4 linked regions of the Drosophila melanogaster genome follow. The protein of the gene in region 1 interacts with the protein of each later gene in a pairwise test. Each region holds a gene or a part of one and is shown in the gene's direction. Other genes may lie near its edges.

Region 1 (6,295 bases):
TGGAATATAAGTCTATTTCATTAACTTATAAAGATTGAATGGAGTTATTTTTCACATAGAAATTTGTTAAATATACGAATAGGATATAGAACCGTATGGAACTGTATTTTCGGTACCATTTTGTAGATTCTAACCTTTTAATTTTCGAACCGTGTTTAGGTTTTGCAATCCAACGTGTCGGCTGCTTTTGTGGTTTCGAGGGCTTTTGAGACTCCGGCATCGCGAAATCAACGCATCAATCATCTTCGGTTGCACAACTGCAGGGAGGTGCAGTCCAACCAATTGCAGCTTTTCCCAGATGATAATACCAGTTGCCTTCTACCAATATGCTCATTAGCACCAGTCCGATGTAAATTCTACTGCCTTGCTATATAATCGCTAGGGTGATTTTACGAGATTTGCAACCTTGAACTCTGGTTTTTTATTATTGCCAAGTGCGGATAAGGCCAATAATACTAACGAGAGTCCAAAAATAAACAAGCGCCACAAAGAGCTGGATCCGAGTCACAAAAACTCTCCTAAGCTTGGCCCAATAAACAATGGCTTTGGCCGGCGATCGACACCCACCACACCACCACCAAAATTGGTCGTGGTTCATCTGCGTGGCATCATTACGATCGTCATCTGGCGCGGCTCGTCCGATTGAGACTTGAATTGAAGTCGATATTTCTGGGCCGAAGGTTGCGCTATTAAGTATACGCCGCATGTGCTCGCCAAAAACCAAAAGCCAGACTAACGATGAGAAGCATCTCGGAAAAAAGTCATTGTACTCCGCCAGGGAATGAGCTCTGAATAACCTGATGGTTCCGGTCATTAGGTCCCCGTTTATTGCGGTTGGATCGATGGTCGGCAAAGGTGGATAAACGGAGTATATCAAATCGATCGGAAGTCGCGGCCAAGTTCCTTCAACTTTGCGATTATGCAATCGCATTGAGAAATTAACACACTGAACTCAAATGGTGAACTGGTGCACTTTCGTTAATGAATTTAATTAGATTATGAATATTTTTCAGATTGCTTTAACATTTCGATTTGTATGTAAATTTTCTGCAAATGCTCAAGGTTGAATCTCTGGGTATAAAGTGCTTATTTATTTTGATTTTTTGTTCACATAAATTTTACAACTAGGCGTGGCTTGCCGGCACCTAAAACTTGTGTTACAATATATTGTCGTGCGCGGCATTAGTTAAAGGACTAGTGAAGTGCATTCTAACTGGGAAAAACATATCCATGTCTGGTGAGTACAGTCGCAGTCTAAATTCTGATGATCAAATGGAAAATTTCAGAGCAAGCGGAAATATTACCTGCCATCTCTGTCCATATAAGGAGGATCATTCTGATCTAGCATGGTCAATTCATCGTGAGCTTTTCCTCTAGTCATACAGCCACTAGAAAGCCCTTGAATCGATCGTATTCATACTTCCCCCAATATGGCAGACGCGTGTTTCGGATCTGTGAGATGGGATCAGCTTAGGGCGACATGTCTATACATATTCATCGTCTCCCCCGCCGACTGTTTGCACATGTAAATTTGGCGCGGCTAGATTACATGGTCAGTTACGTGTTATTCGGTTAGAATTCCGCAAAAAGATCTTGTGCTCGGCGGCCATGCAGCGGACTTTGAGACGAAAAATGCAAATGTTTGCTTTGTTGCATTGCTTGGGTTTTTTGTCGAAAAACGCATCAAAAGTGCAGGGTAATGGTGAGATTTTTAGCAGGTAAATTAGAATAAAGGTAGTTGAAGGGTCGTTAATTGAGGGTAAGTAAATCGTCAACCAAGCCGCTGTCAAAGTTCGATCTAATTGCTTAGCTCACAAAAATCGACTACGTAACGTTTCAAGCTTGCACAAATAACAAGTAAGCGTCGGGTCCTCCGAAATATTAAGTATCCGCCAGGTTGCCTGCAACATCCAGGTCTCGGTAGCCGCTTTTCCCATTCGGGAATTTGTATGTTTCAGAAGTTCACGGCGCATTTTGGCCATTTATTGGCCATCACGAAGGCAAACGGAGGAAAGCCAAGTATTGGTCATTATAAATATTTAAGAGCCCAAGAGGCAAACTGGTTTGGTCAGCCCCATCTTCTTCTGCTTTTTACCGCATACGTATCCAAAGATTGGGCTTTGTTGCTGGCAACCTTTCCGCCGCTCTCCCTCGCCGTGATTTGATTTGATTTGATTTGATTTGTGGCTACGTTAATTTTTGCACACTTTTCCGATATGAAGGGCCGGGCCTGGGCAGGGGTTAATTAACGGACATTCTTGCCGAACTTTGAACTGTGCAATCATGCGCGCTGCCAAGACGCGGCAAAAGTACCGCTCCGATATTTGGATTGGCGGCAATTAGCGCCGCACTTGGGTGTGGGTGCAAAGGCGGGTGATACCCCCACTGGTGGATACCAAGAATTCGATTCCAAAGGGCCGCTGGCCGATCTCGCTCTCGCTCTGGCATCCTGACGCCCGACCCGATCGCTTCGGCTGTCAGAGCGAGAGCACACATCGACAACCTGTTGCTCAGAACCTGTGGCTAGCGACCGAAGCTTTCGACTTCGGCTCACCTCAACGCCAGCGCCATCGCCACGCTCGCCGAAAATGAGCGGTCGGCGGCGCCGACGATCTGCGTCGACGTCTGCGCCAAGTCCGCTCCTACGACTGCGAGGCGGTATAAAAGTAAAGCGGCAGCGTGAAATCAAACTTATTTCAGTGTTTTTGATTTGAATGTAAAAAGCGCACGCTCGCCCAGTCGCTGTCCAGTTGTTGTCCAGTAAAGTCCAGCGGAGCAGCAGCAGCGGCAGATCGGTCGCATCAGCAGTAGCATCAGCAGCAGTTCCCCGCAACAGTGATGTAGAAACCATAAAACCGTATAACGATGGTCAAACAGTGTGTGCGTGTGTAAAACAATAACTAAAAACCTACAAGCAAGAAAAACGAAAAAAAAAAACGAAACGAAACGAACAAGGATAGTGCGCTAAAAAGTGATAATTCGTATACCAAAGTCGAGAGAATCTCTGTAAATTAGTCAAAAAAAAAAAAAAGAAAAAATAAATAAATACAGTACGCTTCCTTGTAACAAACGGAATATAAACGCGCATTTAGTACCTGTTGAAGCGAATTTTAGCACAATGGTAAGTAGCGGGGGTTCCCGACCGAACACCCAGTGTGACTCAACGGAAAATTGATGCCACTGAAACCTCCTTTATTAAAATGCCTTTGCAACCAGTAATTTCGATGCCGACCCCCAACATGCAAGCCTGAATAAATAAATATACATGATCGTACGTTGACTTGGGCTTTCCGTTAAATCCCACAACCCACAAATGACCCTTTGCACACGACTCGTGTGTGCTGCTGCTGCTATTAAGCAAGAAATTAATAATAAAAAAAAAAATAAATAAAGCTCCTATAATGAATATCCGCAATGCAGCCGTTAAAATTAATTGAGCAAATTATTAATCGAGAAAACCTCTCGAGCACCAGCCATTCCTGGTTCTTATTCGTTTTCTTTGGAAATGGAAAAAAACCGCACGCCAGCAACTGGTTTTCGTTTTCAAGTACACATTCGCTAGCAAGGTTTTCCACTGTTTTTTCCCAAATGCATTTTTGCCGACTCCGCGCAGACCTTTCCACGCTTTTCGCCCACTTTTCCCCCGCTTTCTGCCACAAAACATGAGCGTTTTGCTCTGTTCTGTTTTGCTAGAGCCATTCGCTTTCGAGCTCCGCCAAAAGTGCATACAGAAACTGCAAGTGCTGCACTTATTTCGAAGCTGTCGCTGTGTTATGTCCGCAGTTGCAGCAGCAGCACTTACACCAGCAACATCACTGGCTGGCGGTCAAGTGAAGTGAAGGCTGGCTTTTGGCTTTGACCAGCTCACTAGCCCACCAGCTCACCAGCTCACCAGCTCACCAGCTCACCAGCTCACTGGCATGACAACATTTCACACGGAAATGCAGTGCATCGCTGACCTTGAATCTCGGCCGGGGATATGGGATAACTGGCGATCGGAGCGCAGGTGAAATGATAGCCAGTCAGGGCCAGGCCGACTCATTTGTCCCGTCCACCTTACTTATGCTTTCGGCCCATCATTGCAGATGCTGCTGCTGTGTAGAAATCCAGTGATTTTCATATTCATTCAGCAGCTCTGCAAATTCGAGAGAAAAAACCCCAGTGGGTTAACCAATCGCCGCCGCTACTACCGCTGGCTAATGATCACTGGCATTGCACCATTTCACAAAAAAAAAAAAAAAAGAAAAAAAAAAATAAGCAGGCAACCCAGAAATCGAAACTTATTCAAATCTTCGAGTTGTTTTCTTCTCCTTTTGGCCTCTTACACAATGATTATTACACCTCGATTTTATTTTCGACTGGGACTTTTGCCGCATTTTTGTGTTGCCTCTTTTGACACTGAAAAGTGCAAAGGCGCTGGCGGCGAATTTTACTAGTTGCCAGTTGGCTATGGGCGGCTATGGGCTATCGGGTCTGGGTTGTTTGAGGCTGCTTGTTGGAGCCAGAGCCACTGCCACCCAGCTGCCAAACTGCGCAGCCCCCGCCAAGTGATCATAATAAAAAAAAATGTGCCTTAATCAGCCGATTTGCTTGCATTCCCTGTGGGCCAGTTAGCTACATTGGAGAGCCAGTCTCAGACGCATTGACGTCGCTTTATTGTTGACTGCCGCTCGGCACTCAGCTGTTTTTTGGTAAGAGAATCATGTAGAGAGCATATAGTAAACACAAAACCATAGGCAGAGTGCCCTCTTAGTACTTAGTGTGTGTGTGTGTGTGTGTGTGTGTGTGTGTGAGATAACGCTTGCCGCATGTGACTGAAATCGCAGTGCATTCGCTGCTCCATTTCGATTTGTTTGGCTCCACACGGCGTATGCGCGATTTTCTCAGTAGCTAGCTAGTCTTCGTTCACTTCAATTGCGAATATGCCATTTGGGCAAAGGTTTATTGTTCTACATAAAAAAAGTGCGTGTCTCTCAGCAATTTTTTTACTGGCTGTGTATATTCCCGAGCAAATTAACACTTAAAAACTGATAACGCAAGCGAAGAGAGGAATTCGAGGTAGATAAACGTAAAGAGACCATTAAACGGAGAGTACCTGAAAATGATTACATTTATGGACTCTTATCGGCCCGTGATTGAAGTAAGTGTCATTTGAAATTCAATTATTGCTCGTTGGAGATTAGACAGAAAAGTTATGCCAGTAAAGGTGTTAAAAACACTAAAAATAACAGCTTTTAAATTATTATTCAAACACGCTGGCTTGCATATTTTACAGCTCTTTGAGTGCCTTTTTTTTTTTGCAATTTTATACAAACTCTTCGTTCCCGAAAAAACAATTAATTTATACATATTTGTCGCTTTAAACTGGGTCGGTTGGATGAATTTATTTGTATAAATTAAATTATTTAGTGGGCCATGCTGTCATACCGAATTCGTGATTAAACATATTTCCATTAGTGCGAATTTAGATGGGACTTAGGTGCTAAAGTTGTTCGATTTTGTTTTTAAGTATTTTAAAAATGTTTAATAATATTTTCTAAATAATTTCCTTGTCGTACAACAATAAATTACAAATAAATTCCATTTTAAAGCAACGAACGCATTTGCAGTAATATATTTTCGACACATTTAATCCGAACACAAAATAATTAAATCAACATCAACATTGTGGGGCTAAAGCAAAATTTAAATTAGTGGACAGAAACAACCTGATAAATACGCGAATGTAAAGTGATTGAGGAGCTAAAAGTCATTGCTTGTTTAATTGTGTGGCTAGTGATTTACGGGCTTGGGGGCAGAGAACTTTAGGCTGGGAAATGGCAGCAGGGACGAAAACCAAAGTTCGACATTCCCAATTCGAATTGCATATTATGCCTGAATGCCTGAATCCAAATGGTATGGAACCATTTTTAATGCAATCGTCTAACATAAACGTTCACGAAAAAATCAACATTGGCGGCCTGACAAACGCAATGTAGAATGAATCAGCTAAAATATATCCCCCGAATTGAGGCTTTCAAATGGTATTTGGGGAACTCACTTACACTTACGCACATTTAGCCAACCTGTTGAGTATTTGCAGCTGTGCACTTGACTACTGGCTGAGTTTTTAGTTGCTGCAAAAACTGCTTTGCACTGAAAGAAATTGGTAATCATATAATCTTATTAACCAAAAAATAAAAATGCTCAAAGGTTTCGAATTTTCCAAAACCTATTGAAACTTCTTCATATTACCATATTTCTGACTGACCTAAATAGTTAGTGAATAATGTGGAAAATTAAATCTATTCAATAC
Region 2 (5,390 bases), on another chromosome or scaffold:
CCAACAAACAGATTACATGAAACATGCAAAAAATGAAAGGGAAAAAAACGAATCAAACTCGATACTGTAGTGTGTTGATTTCTTTGTAAAAAAAAATAAAAACTAAACGTACGAGAAATGAAATTAAGAAAAGATCGAAATGTATGAATATTGTTTAACTAAATGATTAAATTATGCAAGTAGAACGTACAAGATTAGCATTTAGCGTGTGTATTAATTATCCTTATCTGTGTTGCGGATGGAGCTGCGCGGGATTTGCATCTAAAAGACAAATTGGGCGCGCCGCCCATTCAATTCTTATAAATATAAATATATATTATGTGTATCTAAATCTATATCTGTGTGTGTACTACTCGTATCCGTAGTTTCTACTTTATAAGTTCTCCGTGAATGACTACGATGAATTTTTCGGCCAGCAGCCGCACATTAATTTTAATTGTTTCTAAGCATCAATTTGTACTTTAAATATTTATACGCATATGCTGCATATATGATATGATAACGATGGCGAGATATATATGTAATTAAAGGATTATCTATGTGAATGTGGGTGTGTAGTAATTCACTAGCCGCTTCATAGACTCTACACGCGTGATTTATGGCACTTAATGTTCTGTAGCCTAAGCCCAAAAAAAAAGAAAAACTGAATGAGAAAGCTCCCATCTGGCCCTCAAAAATCCCGCTTCCTATCCCAAATACACATTGATTCTTTAGAATTTATAAATAAAACAAGTATTGATTGTAAATATACCTTAAAGCGAGTCTTTTGTATTGTAAATTAGTTCCACTGATTGATTTGGTGGCCCTGCTTAGGTGCTTTGCCACCAAGTTCGTGTTATAAACATTAATACATAATATTGTAATTTACTATATGTGTTGGCAGCATTTGCTGTTAACCGCAAACGAAATGCAAGCGATTTACCGAATAATAGCAATTTGAATTATGTCTTCATGTGTAGATCGGCGAGTGTTTTCCTTACACTCATTTAGGAGTCGCTAGGTTTTTTGACATTCTTAATGCAATTTGTAATCAAATCGTAGGAGGCATTCGACTCACGGATACAAACACACAACATAACAAAACAATTAAATGGGATTTAACAAATTACCATAATGGCTTATGCAACGGTACAAGCAGAGTTTTATACAAATTATGTATTTTAGAGATGGATAAAGCGCATTGAATTGAATTCGAAACAATGAAATTGTATCTAAGCAAAGAATGTAATCCACAAAATGGCTAACTAAAGCTAAATCAAGCATTCAAATATGGGCGGACGAATATGAACAAAACACATAACTAGCGGCTAAGAAATTTCAACAAAATATAGTACACATATTTAAAGTATACAGAAAATTATAAAAAACAAAAACAGCTTTAGATGTGAATAAAAAATATGTAATTAAATCAAAACAGCACTTCTTTTGTTTGGGTCATATACGGGAACTTCTGATGGATTAATAATAAACGTTAATTTTGTTTAGGAATGAAGTCTTTTTTAATATCATTAGTTGCTAACGAATTAATCTAGTTATGTCTATGCACTGCCTAGGGGTATGATGAAGCTCATATAGTCCGCTGTGGCGCCCCAGGCTGTGCGATTTGTCTGGAATATTATTATCCAGGCAGTTAGTACTATCAGCCAGAATAGAGTCCCCACTGCAGAGTATATAACATCTGGAGGAAGGTAGGAAAGAAATTGTGGAATATTAGACTGTATGGCATGGGCATCTATTCATATATTGACTTACATCTCTTTATTTGGCTCTGCTCCGAAAATGGTGGCTTATGGAAGGCCTCCGTGAAAAACCAGCAAACGTTAATGGCCCACACAAAGGGCAGAAATGCAAAGCCAGCTAAGTTCGAGACAAATAGAAAGTAACTTGGTTAAAATCCAATCATTACTCATTGGTAGTAACTCTTACCAAAGAAGTATTTGCGACACAGCTCCAGTTTTCGCGGATTTGGTGCCTTTGAGATGTCCATGATTAATCCTCTTCAAATATGTGGGTGTTTGCTCCTTTGTTTTCGAATCTGTTTCCGGCCCAGGAAAGTTTTTTCGTACTTATATGTAAATTGTATGTAATATGTAAATTGTAATAGCTTATATTTTCACTTCAATTTTTGCTTTTGTTGATTTGTGTTTTAGTTTTTAGTCCATTGGAGCGCAATCGATATCGATAAGTTATCGAAACAGAGGTGAGCTAAACTGCGACTCTTGGATCACTGTTTCATTTGCCAATATCTAACGTAAATAACGATATAATAATATAGCATAGATGTTTTATTACGTTTGCACGATTTTGCGATGTGTGCGATGATTAGTATGAAACATCATTCCTTGTGTTCCCTTTTTTTAAAACGCCAAAACTGTTACAAGTCAAGCCCACTTCAGTGTTGTATATCCCCTAAAACAGAATCATCGATAGGTAATACTGCTGCCATCACTATTTTAGCACACACCGCGTAAAAGCGACGCCGATTTCAATTTTCAACGAATTATTAAAAGTGTGCGAAAAACCATACAATGGCCGATGTGGACGATTTTGATTCTCTGTCCAATGCTGAGTTGCGCGCCAAGATGCTGGCACAGGGGCTGCCCAACATCCCCGTGACGGATAGCAGCCGGAAGGTTCTAGTAAAGCGTCTGCGCGCCTCCATTGGTGGCCAGGCGTCGCCGGCCGCTAGTCCCAAGAAGACCAACAGGCGGGAGACCCTGGCTCCCGCACCTGGTGCACCATCTGCTCCGGCGGCAGCCTCCACGCCGGTGGACAAGCTGGATGGCAACAAGGTGGCGCCCGCCACAAAGGCTCGGCGCACAATTACCGCTGCAGAGGCCAAGGAACCAGTGCGTCGATTACCCGAGGAAGCTATACGCCGACGCCCCGACGAAGCCGACCGCCTACGATCCGAGGAGCCCGTTGCCGCCAGGAAGCCAACAACTGCTCCTGCTGCTCAACCCGTACAGACCCGGCGCACTTCCACCTCCTCGGGGTCTGAAAGGAAAGTAGTGGAGCCCTTGAGGAAGCCAGAAACCATTGTTGAGCAACCGGCTTCCTCGAAGCGCGCTGATCGAGAGGAGAATTATCTTAAGGTCAACTCCCTGATTGTCCTAGAGTCCGATGAAGAAGAGGACGAGCAGCTAGTCCAGGCTGCAGATCTGGTGGAGCAGGAGCACGCGGCCAGACAGAAGACCACGAAGCTCGCAAGCAGCGGCACCACTACGTACGAGTACAAAAGCAAGGTTGTGGAGCCTCCACGCCGACAGGTCTATGAAGCGACAGCAGCTCCCGTGCTGCCGCCATCTGTGCCATCTGCCAGAGCGCAGACCACCAGTTCCACCAGGTCCTATGACTATGCGAGCAACCCAGCACCCGGTCGCTATAGCAGTTTTGTGCGTACTGCAGCCCAAGGCTATGTGACTGCAGAGGCTCCGCCGGTGGCCTCCTACTCATCCAGCTACAAGCGTACCTATGCTAACGAGCTGAGCGACGACACTGATTCCAAGGAAGACCAGTACGAAAGCACATTTGCCAGGAATCTAGCTCGTTTGCGAGCCGAACGGATTGGAGATCGCATCAGCCCGTATTCCAGACGCACTCTGGCCAGTGGAAACGCGGGTAGCGGTTCTCTCGGCTATGAGCCGCGTGCCAGGCGCTCCTTGCGCCCGAATGATAACAGCGTATCCGAGGCCTTTAACCGTTGGTTGAACAGCCTGGAGCAGAAGTATCACATCAAGTCGAAGCTGTTCATTGTACTCCTCGTCCTTTTGTTAATCGGCGTTTATTACATATTCTACTGACCGGCGCATCATTGTTCTTATTTCGAATTTGTAATCTAGTTTGTATACCATGTTGGATATGTTTTGTAAACAAGACTGCCGCCGCGGTCTTTGTATGAATCTTGTTTTGATGTAACTTGAGCTTGAGTTTGACTAGCATTTAAGCTGCGTGTTATCCGTGTTCAAATAAAGCCCACTTGCAGGGAATCTCCACAGTTGAACACTTGCTCTGATGTTTTTTCTCCAAACGGCTTTCGATTCACTGCGCTCCACTTGTGGCAGGTGTTTGCCCAGATTGGATCAAGAAACAGCAGCAAACGACGATCGGCTAATGATGGAAAAGTATCTGGAATGCGTGTACAACACTTGTCGGCATGACTCTGACCAAATGTAGGCGCAATGGCAACCAGGCAAGCGCAGCTCTTATCTGAGCTAAATTGTTCCTGCTGCGATCTGATCTGCGATCCTTGCAATGCCTTGCAATCAGAATTAATAAGAATTTTACAAGTCGGCTCGGCGGCCGGTGTGCGTTATTTTAAAATCCTTGCCCGAGTTGGGCTGTTTAATTTTATTAACTGGAAATCGCACTTGCGCGTATTTCTTTATTTTCTTAAGGAAATTTCGCGCCATATTTAGCGGTAACAAGCGCGACCGGATCCGGGTCTGACTTGCATGCCAGCAATAAGTTATGAAAATTGCAACATCAGTGGCTCGGGGGAAATGCCAGTTGTGCTGGGGATGTTGCTGCCACGGCTGCCACGGCCGCCACGACCGCCAGTCGCCGCCGATGATGAATTCCACAAATGCATGGAACAGCCAGGCGGCAGATTCCTTGAAAAACAAAGCCATGGCCCATACAATATATCGTGTGGCTAATAAATACGCCGCGCATTGCTAGTTGCTCTTAATGAAATTAACTTCCAGGAATTACCTACATGGCAGCAACGATGCAGACGACAACCACGATCACTTTGACGACTGTCCCGAAGTGCAACAAAGCAACTGCAACAGTCGCAGCAACAGTCGCAGCAATTCGAAAAGGCAACAATGGCTGCTTAGGCAAATGCAACAAGCCATCGGCCATGGAAATTAAATGGAAGCCTGCAAAAAGTTTCACGCACTCGACACGTTAATAGAGTCGTAGCACCCAGAGCAACATCAGGTCCACCAGCTGCAGCAGCAGCAGCAGCAAAACCACCAGCACCAACACCCAACACCAGAACCCCGCAGGAACATCAGCGCCCAAGAGCAACACACCCGCGTCCCAGCAGCTTCCCATCTTCGGTTGCCGCCGCTCAAGTGTGACATTCATGGAATATGATTTTATGGCCAAAACCGAAACTTTTGTCTGCATCACGTTCGCGGCTGGAGGGAAAACAAGGAGTGGGCTAGTAAAACAGCCGGATGGTGGACTATGAAGGTGGCGGTGGTGACTCGACTGCCTGGCTGCTGGGCCAATGACTTCCTCGTTGTGAGCCAATTAAAGACGCTGGTCGTTGTGGTCGCTGCTGAAATCATTTGTAATGCAACGTTTGGAATAATTCACGCGCAAATTGCTTGCGACTCGCGAAAAATATTGCAACATTCCACTGCAAATTTTACGATTAT
Region 3 (7,004 bases), on another chromosome or scaffold:
ATGCAGACAACAAGTACAAGTGGGCACCCGTGAAACCAGGTGGATATAAGCCCAAGCCGCGTAGCAGCGTCGGCTGCACTGTGGCTGCGAATGGCAAGGCCTATACCTTCGGTGGCGTTATGGACGTCGATGAGGACGACGAAGATGTGCACGGACAGTTCGGCGATGATCTCCTGGCCTTCGATTTGACCTCCCAAACATGGAGATTGCAGGAGATCCAAACTAAAAGCAGCAGCGCTGAGAAAAAGGATTCGGAGGAGAGCAAAGATGTGGAGATGTCGGCTGTTGATAAGCCAGTGACCACCACCACGGATGGCATTTTCACGGTCACCGTTGGCGGTCCCAGTACCAGTACCACGCCATTCGTGTCCAAAATACCCAGCCTATTCGCCAAACCCAAGCCGACGAATGTGCCATCTCCGCGCATGAATCCCGGCATGTGCGTGTGCAAGGGAACGCTGTATATTTTCGGTGGCATCTTCGAAGAGGACGACAAGCAGTTGACCTACAACGATTTCTACGCCCTGGACTTGCACAAACTGGAATGGAAGGTGCTAATCCCCAATAGCTTGAAGGGCCACGAATGGGAGGATAGCGACAGCAGCAGCTCCGACGAGGAGTGCAGTGGCAGCGAGGAGGATATCTCCAGCAGCAGCTCGGACATGGACACGGATTAAGAATTTCCAGTGACTATATATTAAATTTGGTTAACAATTGTACACATGTATAAAAATGGAATATTTTCAACTGCTGAGTAAGCTCGAAATTCTCACAGCTCCAGAATCTCGGTGAGAATGCGTTGCGTATCCTTGGGAGTATATACCCTATGGCTGATGGTTCGAGGATCGCTATAGATCTCATAGTCATTGCCGCCCGGCTCCGTTTTATCGCCAAAGAAGTGGATTTCCTTGAACTTGTAGTGCGCTTCGATGTGTCGCAGGCAGTAGGTCTTGTCCCAACCATGCGGGAAGACATCGAAGCTGATCTGACCACCAATCGAGTACGTGAGATCCACATCGGCAAACTCCTGCTTCAGGTCCTTGATCATTTTCTCGCGCACCTTGTGCTCAATGTCGTACTCGGCGAACATGTTGCGCTCCTCCCGAGTGCACTGCCTGCCAATGGGACAAACGTTCATCATGCCATTCCGGAATTCGATAAAGGTGCCCCTCTTGATGGGCACATCCAGTTCGGACAGATAGCGCAGCACAAAGTTGATGAAACGCTTCACCGTCTCCTCGCCCAAATGCATGATGATATTCTGCTTTCCCACCTCCTTTCCGCCCTCAATCTGCACCAGCCCATTTTCCGGGAATATGAAGTCGAACTCGTTGAGTATCTTCCTGCCATTCAGCTGCTCGAACATCTTCTCCAGATCCGAGCCTCCGACGATTCCGATGGTCGCCCTCGGCTTAACCCGCGAGTAGAAGAACTCCTCGAACTCCGGAGTGACCACGGATCTGGGCATCGTTAACGTGCCGTCCACGTCGAAGAGCAGCAGGATTTCATCACGCTTCAATGCGGCGGTGGTCATTTTGCATTTAAATTTTGTGGTAAATCAGCAGGTGTTTAATATCCAGATATTTATGTCCACGTATGATTCGAGATAAAGAATTTTACAAGCGGCAACGCAGTGGTGAGAAATCCCCTAAAGCTTTCGATGCACCGGCAAGGGGAACCAGTTCCGGAATCCAAGTGCAATCAAAATTAATGTTTTGAATTGCCTTTTACGTTAGGTTTACTATTTAAAACAATGAGAGTATAAACATTCAAGCACAATCATTTGGATTTTCCTGCATGTATAGGTAACAGTTTAATTCATGGAGTTCATGCTGTCAGGGTACAAATAGTTTCTATTTTAATAGCAATTTGTACATTGCAGTTCTTTATCAGGCAAACTAGAATACACATATTTGGGTTCTTAAGTGTAGCATAACAGGGGGTTCTACTGCCTTTTAATGTGCTGCAGTTCATCTCTCTTGATTTTGCTGTATTCCTGCAGGGTTTTGTATTTCTCAGTGTTAACCATGGGGTCCACAATGACGGGGTATAGGGTGAGGCCCACGGCGCCCACGATGCAGGACACGAATCCAACGAATCTCCAACCACGCAGGACTGCCATTTAGCTAAAATATGGAATATTTTAGCTGACTTTTCGGTTTGTTATTATAAAACACAAAACACCTGGTTGACCGTAAGATGCTAGAAAACGCCAAGTGTGTGGTCACACTACTGTGGTCACCGGTGAAGTGCAGTAAATACTACAGAAGAGATAACCTGATAGAAAGTAAAATATAAATAAACAAGATTACTGTATATATAATAAAAATAGATATAGGTATAGATTAAACTAGAAATATCCTGAATGCTAAATATGTTTCTTGATTCATATCTCACTTAAGCATTCTCCACTGTGTGTACCTGTTGGTATTTTTTGAAATCATGTCTATTTCTGCCCGCTCTGGTTACACTGGCTTCCTTGAGCTGGGCTTGGGTGTGGTGTTTTGTTTGAGTAATTGTTTTTGCAGATAGATCTTTTTAGTTAATACACTTATTAATATTCTTATATCCCGAATATGGCTAGCAGCCTCGTTTTTGTGGCTCTAGTCGGCGCCTTATGTTTTACGCTCGCTAACGGTAAGTTGCGGCTGGAATACGAAAGTCGCCCATTTCTAGGGCGTTGGCATGAGTTAAAACCACGATTTTGCAGCACAACATCACTACGATGAGCACAAGACCACACGGATGGTGTGGTGCACCAAGAGCCAGGCGGAGCAGTACAAATGCCAGAACCTTACGGTGGCCATCGAGCGGGATCGGGCACTATTCGACGAGGTGTTCCTCAATCTCACCTGCTTCATGGCCTACAGTGCGGATGAGTGCATCCATCACATTGATCGCGAGAAGGCACACATCACCACGCTGGATGCGGGCGATGTCTTCACTGCTGGACGGTACAACTCCCTCATACCCATTATGCAGGAGAAACTGGAGGGCGGCTTTGCGGACTATCAATCCGTAGCCGTGATCAAGAAGGGATCTCTACCAGACTTGAACAATCTGCGCGACATGCGCAACAAGAGGGTGTGCTTCCCCTGGGTGGGCAGCTTGGCCGGTTGGATTGTGCCCATTCACACGGTGAGTAGAACTCCTCTTTTAAGTTGATTGTTTATTTGTTTCATTAGGCAACTAACAAACAAATTTTATCGTTTTGCAGCTCCAAAGGGAGGGCGGCATGGAAGTGGTGGACTGCAACAACCAGGTGAAGACGGCCGCCAGCTATTTCAATAATTCGTGTGCTGTGTACTCGCTTTCCGACAAACACAATCCAATTGGCGACAACTCCGATAAGTAATGACGCATAAAAGCCACAATTTTACACACATTAACTAACAACAAATCAATTTTCAAACCAGACTTTGTACGCTTTGCACTGGAAAGATACCCGGAGGACGCTGCTCATCTGCAGATCCCTACTTCGGCTACGAAGGCGCCTTCAAATGTCTGCTTGAAAAAGGAGATGTTGCCTTCTTGCGCCATTCGACTGTGAATGAAATGCTGCAAACCACCGAATTCAGTGAGTTACCAAAGGGAAACTTCTGAAAACCCATTACTGATCTAAGCTGCGTTTTTTAGAGAACATAGCACCCGACACTTTTGAGCTGCTGTGTCGTGATGGTCGTCGTGCCTCCATCAACGATTATCGCCAGTGTAATTGGGGCCAAGTGCCCGCCGATGCCATTGTCACATCTTCGGCTCGCAGCTTCAGCGATCGCAAGCAGTATCAGCAGTTTTTGAAGCGCATTGCCGAGCTGTACTCCGATGGCACACGTGATGATCAGAGCAGGCAGGGAGGACAAAGCTTCAACAGCCGCAACAACATCAACGATCAGAATGCCTATGGCCAGTTCGATAATAATGATCCGTACAGAACGCAGAATCAATACGATCAGTATCGCAGCGAACGATTGGACAGCAGTTTTGCAGAGGAAAGAAACCAGCAGGACGGCACGAACACTTCCATACTCTATGAGAAGTTCCGCATCTTCGAGTCGAAGCGCTATGGCAAGCCAAATTTGCTGTTCCAGGTAAGTGGATCATATTTTCCGTGATCCGAAATACATACTTAACATTCAATTGTTTTGTGACAGGATTCTAGTCGCGCTCTAACCGTGATTCCCGAAGATGATCAGTCATTTACCAAGTACCTAGGCCCTGCCATTAACTTTATCTACGGCATCCGTGAGTGTCCAGTTCCAGCGATGACGCTTTGCGTGACTTCGGAGAATGAGCTTGATAAATGCATCAAGATGAGGGTGAGTTGAAGAGTGAATATATGGATAGCAAGATGAGTTGATGATCCTTTACAAAAACACTTTTAGACTGCCTTGAAAGCTCACCTCCTGAAACCAGAACTCATCTGCAAGAAAATGCACTCCCACATCAACTGCATGCAGTTCATCGAAGCGGGCAAAGCAGACATCTCCGTTTTCGATGCCGGCGATGTCTACACTGGTGGCCTCAACTACGACCTGGTGCCCTTCATGTCGGAGGTGTACAATCTGGGCGAGCCCGAGTATTATGTGGTTGCCGTGGCCAAGGAGGATGATCCCGATACGGAGCTAACTTACCTGAAGGGTAAGAATACCTGCCATACGGGCATTAACACCGCCGCTGGCTGGACATATCCGATGGCGCTTTTCATCTCGAACGGCTGGATTCGTCCCTACGGATGCGATTCGGTTCGAGCTGCCGCGGAGTACTTCACCAAGTCGTGCGTGCCGGGTGCCATTAGCAATGAGTACAACACCGGTGTGCCCTACGACAGCATGTGCGATCTGTGTCATGGAACTAGCTATCGCTATTGTCGTCGCGATGCCTCCGAGGAATACTACGGGCACACGGGTGCATTCCGTTGCCTCGTCGAGGGCGGCGGTCACGTGGCCTTCATGAAGCACACCACGGTGATGGAAAGCACGGGCGGCAAACGCAAGGAATGGTGGGCCAGGAATGCCCTAAACGATGACTTTGAGCTGCTCTGCACGGATGGTACTCGTGCCGAGATCCAGGACTACAAGCGCTGCAATCTGGGCAAGGTTAAGGCCAATGCTGTGGTCACCCGCGGCGGAGTCAACTACAACGAGACCCAGATGAATGCCTACATCAATCTGCTGACCTATGCCCAACAACTGTACGGTCGCAAGGAAGTGGACGCCTTCAGTTTCAGCATGTTCTCCTCGCCGATCGGGCACTATGATCTGATCTTCCAGGACGCCACGCGGCAGCTGCAAGTAATTCCGCCCAATAAGCGCAGGTATGATGCCTATTTGGGCAGCGATTTTATGCGAGCACGCCGCATCACCGACTGCTATGCTGGTGCCTCCCAGTTGGCATTATCCGTGGGCCTGCTCCTCGTGGGTTCGCTGGTTGCAATGCTCTAAGCCACTAGACTCACTTAGATTTCAGAATTCTACAAGCATCTCTAGCACAAAGAGAAAACATATCAACATTTTTACATTCCAAATATGATTAAGTTAAATGTGAAATCCCTTCCGTCCGAAAATGAAACTCTAACTAGCCGAAAAATATCTGTTGAAGGCTATAGTTTATAATTTATAAAGTCCTGTGCCTTATTATAGTATTTGTTTGTGTACATACCAACTAAGACCGTCCAAAAAATGTACCTAGGAGATGTAAGCCGAATCTTTTACAACCGCTTATGTAAGTATACAAATAAAATAACTAGATAAAGGAGTTATTTTGCTTATTTTGAATTAGTATCATTTGAAGAATCCTAATATCTTGACCGCAATTGTAGCCGCCAAATTCAAATTGAATATGTGCGCTAACATCGCTTTGAAACATAGATGTTATTGAAATTTACGCTGGTAAATATTGCATTTAACCTTAAAACACTCTGTATTGTTTATAAAGCCAGTAAAATGTTTGAAATTAAAGAAAATAGCGTAGTTACAAGTTTCAGCGCAGTGTGACCGCTTGGCCGCATAAGCAAGGGTGGAACAGTGCCGCGAAACGACGGTCACACCCGCCTGCACACATCTGTGGAATTGTTAAATTTCGAAAGTCCGGAAAAACCGGACGGAACCTTTCACCTCGCTCTGGACCAGTGGCACCGCCCTCGAGTATCGCAAGATGTCTATTAACCTGCGCACCGTCTACGCCTTCGCCCGCGAGATGTACCCAAAGACCTCCAAGGAGACCATCCAATATGGAACAGCTGGCTTTCGCGGCAAGTGAGTAGTTGCCTCCATTAACGATCTTAATAATCATCATAATCATTATGCTAACACACCCACACGATGCACACGTTGGCGCATTTGATTAGCACACGGCGATTGTTGGTGGTTTTTTTTTTTTTTTGATAAATGGGCGGTTGCAGGGCTGTGATGTTGGAATTTGGCGTTTATTTTTAGATATTGTTCACCTTTTATCAATGGACATGCCCTTCTTTCGCCGTTATGTCTGCCTGTATGTGCGTAAGTGTGCGTGCATGTGCATATGTGCATACATACTGACGCACAGTCGCGGGCAGCGAACTAGTGCCACATGTGCAAGTTGCAATATTTTCAAATCTCAATGATTAATAACTTGTTATTTGTGAAAAATGAACCAACTAAGTATTTGATTACATAGTTTGTGGTTTCCGCGCCCTTATTTTCTAACCACTTTACAGCCAGATAACAAAGTTTCCATGACACACCTACTGATAAAAGCAATTGCAACGCCTAAAATGAGCAATACACAGTGCTTCTATAGGCTTATCAATCCAGCGAAGATAAAATAGATAGCTAAAGTGATAACACACATATAAACAAACAACATTAGGTACAAAACATTTTCCAACTCCAAAATACAAGCTAAAAGATACTTTTGTATCTAAACAAAATCCTGATGTAATAACTCCGCATTTTTTTTTTAGGGCTGAGTTCCTGGACAGCGTGATGTTCCGCATGGGCGTTCTGGCCACCCTGCGTTCCCGGTAT
Region 4 (4,013 bases), on another chromosome or scaffold:
CTTGTATTTCTCACCTCATCTCAAACTGCAAGCTTTCAGTTTGATTCCTGGTTATTATTCAGCAAATAATCAGGCAGTCAAACAGTTGGCATATGTAGAACAGTATTGGGTGCCCAACCGCACGGTATCACCTGGTCAACCGATTTCAACGACAATTCATTCAAATGTCGACCATTCTGATGGCCCTCGGTTCCTGGTCTTTTGTCCGGGATCCTATATGCCGGATCTCCTATTCGCTTTGGCTGGCCAAAAGACCATTAAAGCTATTTTTTCTGCCCATTCAGCATTCAATAGAAATTTACATCACGTCGAAAATTTTTACATACGCATGTGTGTATATGTCCTTTGCTAAAAGGACATTTTGTGATGGCCAGAACGATGGGACTGGGTGGGGTATGTGGTTATGTGGTGGCGAAAGTCGCGTTGAGCATACTAACACTTTTTTGTATGTTTGCTTAGCTTAGGTTTTTACCTGGCAAAAACGCAGCAGGGGTTGGGCATCGGATTGTGGCAGCCTCGAAGTAACAATAATAAAAGCCGGGCGGAGGGAAACAAAATTGATGTTCCCTGCTGCAGTAGCTACATACATATATGGCAGGAAACTATATTGCCACATAGGCAATTTCATTGTGCGATATACATATATTCTGGCAGATATGTTAGGGACCCTGAGCAAATTGGTTTACCCGGCTTACCCTTTTCACACAACTTTAGTTGAACTCCCACTACACAACTGAAAATAAAAAGGTAGTTTAAGAAGCTAGTTTGCTTATAATATATGGGATATGTAAAGCATTGATAAAAAGTCAATTACAAAGGTTTTGTAAATGTAATTGTTGTAATTCGTAGCACACTTTTACGCATACAAAATTTCCAACAACTTGCCCCTTTTAGTTAAATATTTAATTAAATGTTGTAATGCAGTTTAACATATACATTTTCACTCAAACTTTGTACCACCATTTTGTTGCCTTCCAGGTAGAAGAGGTAAAAGGGGGAGTGGACCTTGAGAGAGTTGCACAATTTGCTAATTACCGCAATCAAAGTTTTCTTGTTGGGCAGCCAAAAACAGCTTCAAAAGCACAAAACTGATAAATTATAAATTAAAGGGAATCTCAGGAAAGTTGGCTCTTTCCCTATCTTTAGTTTACACAGCGAACTGTTGTGAGTATTCCCTCGTTTTTTTTTTTTTTTTATGCTTGGATTCGAGTGCATAATTTACGAGTTGAGCTCGCTGCCAATATTTCAATTACTCTACGGCATTTCGAGCAGTCTTCCTTCTTGCCTCCCTATCCCAGAAGCAATTTCAATTGAGCTTAGTGCTTGCGGAGTACTCTTTTCGGTAGGCGGTTTTGTCTCAGGGCGAAATTAGTGGCCAAAACTGCGGCAGATTACAGGCCAGGCCAAGAGCGAACTTCAAACAATTATTTGGCCAGCTGGGCTGGGAAGCTGGCTTTTAATTTGCTTAGCCCCTGCCCATGAATAATGCAATACGAGAAAGAAACGAGACCAAGAAGAATTTTTGTATAATTGCAGGGCGCACAAAATTTCGCTTAGAATCTCCTCGGGCCACATAATTGCTGAGTGGAAAGGGGCGGCAGAAAGTTAAATGTAAATTAAATATTTCCCTCGTCTTTTCTTTAGCAAAACGCAAGTTTTATCCGGCTCTTAAGTCAAATATTCACCTGCTACAGGAAGGCCAGTGAATTAACATGAAAATGAATGGACTTCAGGTGAAATCTTTATTACAAACAATTTGCGGTGTCCTGCGAATACAATGGTAACTAAAATAATTATTTTGAGAAGCTCTTTTATAATTTCCCGAAATATTACGTTAAATGTAAATTTTTGTTGTTTTTTATGCAAACAATTTAAGTATATACACCAGTTCGTTTTTATTTCCAGTGCCCATAATAAGCCCCGTTTCAACTGCTATTTGAAGGCACGATTGCATCGATTAATTATGGCTGTCATCGTGTAAATTGTGCTAAATTATTATTATCAATGTTGTTGGCCTGATGACAAACATTCAATTTCGCGAATGTGTCGCGCTCGACGGACACCCAGGATACAGATACACAGGACGACCCGTTGAAGCGGAGCGACCAAATTGCAATTGTGATATTGACAATAATGCAATCAAATAATCAATCAATTAATGTCTGCTTGAATTAATGCCGAATATTATGTGCTATCGTCAATGCCATCATTAGCACTAAATTCAATTACGTTGCAGGCATATCCTGTTGCCCTCCATGATGATTCATCATTGTTAGCGTACTTTTCCGATGAGGCACGGCGTACACGAATCCTAATCCCAGGAGCCTGTGGCCCACACATTACTCTCGGCCTTTAGAAAAACTTCAAAATTTGTGGCTTAAATTTGGGGAGCCGGAAAAATATTCCATGGCTGGATCACCTGGCGTTAAGGATAAGCTGAATCTGATTGTTGGCGGGGACATTTGCGAGGTATACCGGGATGGATTCAATTGCGGATCCTTTGGCTTCTGGTGCGGACTCGTCGGATTGGCCGTCTTCATAATTTTTCTCGCCTACTTTCATATAAATCGGGAGCGAATAGATCCGACGTCATAATCCCCCTAAATGTGGACAATTCTACATAAATGTGTCATAAATAAAAAGTAATTTAAAAAAAAGTACACATAAATCTTTTGATTTTGTTAAAAAAAACCCTTTTATTCCATTAAAGATTAAAGTTGGATCCAAAAAAAAAGTTGTGTAATGCATTCATTAGCGTGTTATATATTCTTTATGAGCTCTCCTTCACATACAAAGCTCTTTGAGTTGTCTCTCAAATGAAATCCCGTAATTCCGTCAATCCAAATTGATATTTTTATTCATCAAGCTCGATTTTCATGAAATTCATCCTTAAATCGTTGTTAAAAATGCATGTGCATATTTTTCTGCCGGCTCTTATTACCATGCACCTACATATTTATCACTGCTTGATGGACCCAAAACGGATGCTATGTAAATTTTTACTCGGTCGATACATTTGACAGAGCTCATATACACTCTCGTATATAAAATGCCTCAACTTCGTTTGATTTATGCATCATTCACGCGCAATTTATCGTAAAAATTACAAAAAAAGTTCAGCGCATAAAAAAGAAAATGGAAATTCACGTTTTTCGAATCTACAGACAAAGTGCACTGGCGTTAAAAGTCACGGGGGTCATTTATTGGGTAGTTTATAATGCAGTACAACATAACTGATTTCCAATGTTGTTTACTCAACTTACAAACATTTTGATTTACGTGTGTGCGGCACAGATATGTATTGATATATTGATATATATATATATATATATATATGTTCACGTATATCAATAACATCACCAGCAACAACATTCAACAACCAACAATAATAAAGAGGCTGACGGGCAGGCAGGCGTAAACCGAATCGTGTTTATATATTTACTTAACTTTTATGGTCCTCCCTTTGCCAACGTGGAAGTGTATTTGATTATGACAAACAAGTACAGCACGGCCTAAAATTAAAGTATTTGTTATAAAATTATAACAATTATACTATATAATTATAGTTCAATTAGTATGTAATAAGAAGATGCGCTTTAACCATCAATTTATTTATAATTTGAATTATTTTAGGGATTTAACTTCCAGTTGTAAAATCCCATTCGTAATCTAATGTTTTATATTTGTGACCTGATTTAGGGACTCAACGTATTTAAACATTTCATGCACAACTGTACGGAGGAAAATGCATACATATGTAGCGGAGTGGGAAAAGCGAAGTCAAGGTAGCGATGCATAAACAAATATTTGCAAAGCACAAAGCCAAAAAGTGGGTGGTGGGCGGAAATTCAGGGGATGTTCAGTGGGGATTAAGTGATGCCCGCCAGAAATGTCATATTGCACCGAAGCGTTTGGGTTAAAATACCACTCGTTTGTTAAGTGATTAACAAATTACGTTTAGGTATATTTGAAACAGTAAATATGAAACAGTAAATCGTGATGAAAAATATTTA

What was found.
Region 2: the proteins of Elovl7 (region 1) and Ote interact in a two-hybrid assay, tested with the Drosophila melanogaster proteins (one large-scale study listed by BioGRID).
Region 3: the proteins of Elovl7 (region 1) and Tsf2 interact in a two-hybrid assay, tested with the Drosophila melanogaster proteins (one large-scale study listed by BioGRID).
Region 4: the proteins of Elovl7 (region 1) and CG34170 interact in a two-hybrid assay, tested with the Drosophila melanogaster proteins (one large-scale study listed by BioGRID).

Annotation. Positions count from the first base shown.
Region 1 is NT_033777.3:7,992,246-7,998,540, reverse strand, and holds the start of Elovl7 (ELOVL fatty acid elongase 7), read left to right. Parts: upstream 1-2,688; 5' UTR 2,689-3,118; coding exon 3,119-3,121; intron 3,122-6,295. UniProt on the Drosophila melanogaster protein: Catalyzes the first and rate-limiting reaction of the four reactions that constitute the long-chain fatty acids elongation cycle.
Region 2 is NT_033778.4:18,274,218-18,279,607, reverse strand, and holds Ote (otefin), read left to right. Parts: upstream 1-2,430; 5' UTR 2,431-2,528; coding exon 2,529-3,803; 3' UTR 3,804-4,001; downstream 4,002-5,390. Other genes in the region: pen-2 (presenilin enhancer), read right to left, coding at 1,539-1,678, 1,753-1,857, 1,927-1,987. UniProt on the Drosophila melanogaster protein: Inner nuclear membrane protein. Involved in the attachment of membrane vesicles to chromatin during nuclear assembly, and is probably required for centrosome maturation and cell cycle progression during mitosis.
Region 3 is NT_037436.4:12,529,185-12,536,188, reverse strand, and holds Tsf2 (transferrin 2), read left to right. Parts: upstream 1-2,464; 5' UTR 2,465-2,576; coding exon 2,577-2,637; intron 2,638-2,710; coding exon 2,711-3,138; intron 3,139-3,217; coding exon 3,218-3,351; intron 3,352-3,416; coding exon 3,417-3,577; intron 3,578-3,636; coding exon 3,637-4,088; intron 4,089-4,151; coding exon 4,152-4,316; intron 4,317-4,382; coding exon 4,383-5,441; 3' UTR 5,442-5,753; downstream 5,754-7,004. Other genes in the region: CG4069 (uncharacterized protein), read left to right, coding at 1-677; Pmm2 (phosphomannomutase type 2), read right to left, coding at 770-1,534; CG34242 (uncharacterized protein), read right to left, coding at 1,946-2,122; nst (nesthocker), read left to right, coding at 6,154-6,254, 6,941-7,004. UniProt on the Drosophila melanogaster protein: Iron-binding protein and component of septate junctions that form the paracellular permeability barrier in epithelial tissues.
Region 4 is NT_033779.5:17,310,153-17,314,165, reverse strand, and holds CG34170 (uncharacterized protein), read left to right. Parts: upstream 1-2,345; 5' UTR 2,346-2,406; coding exon 2,407-2,595; 3' UTR 2,596-2,698; downstream 2,699-4,013.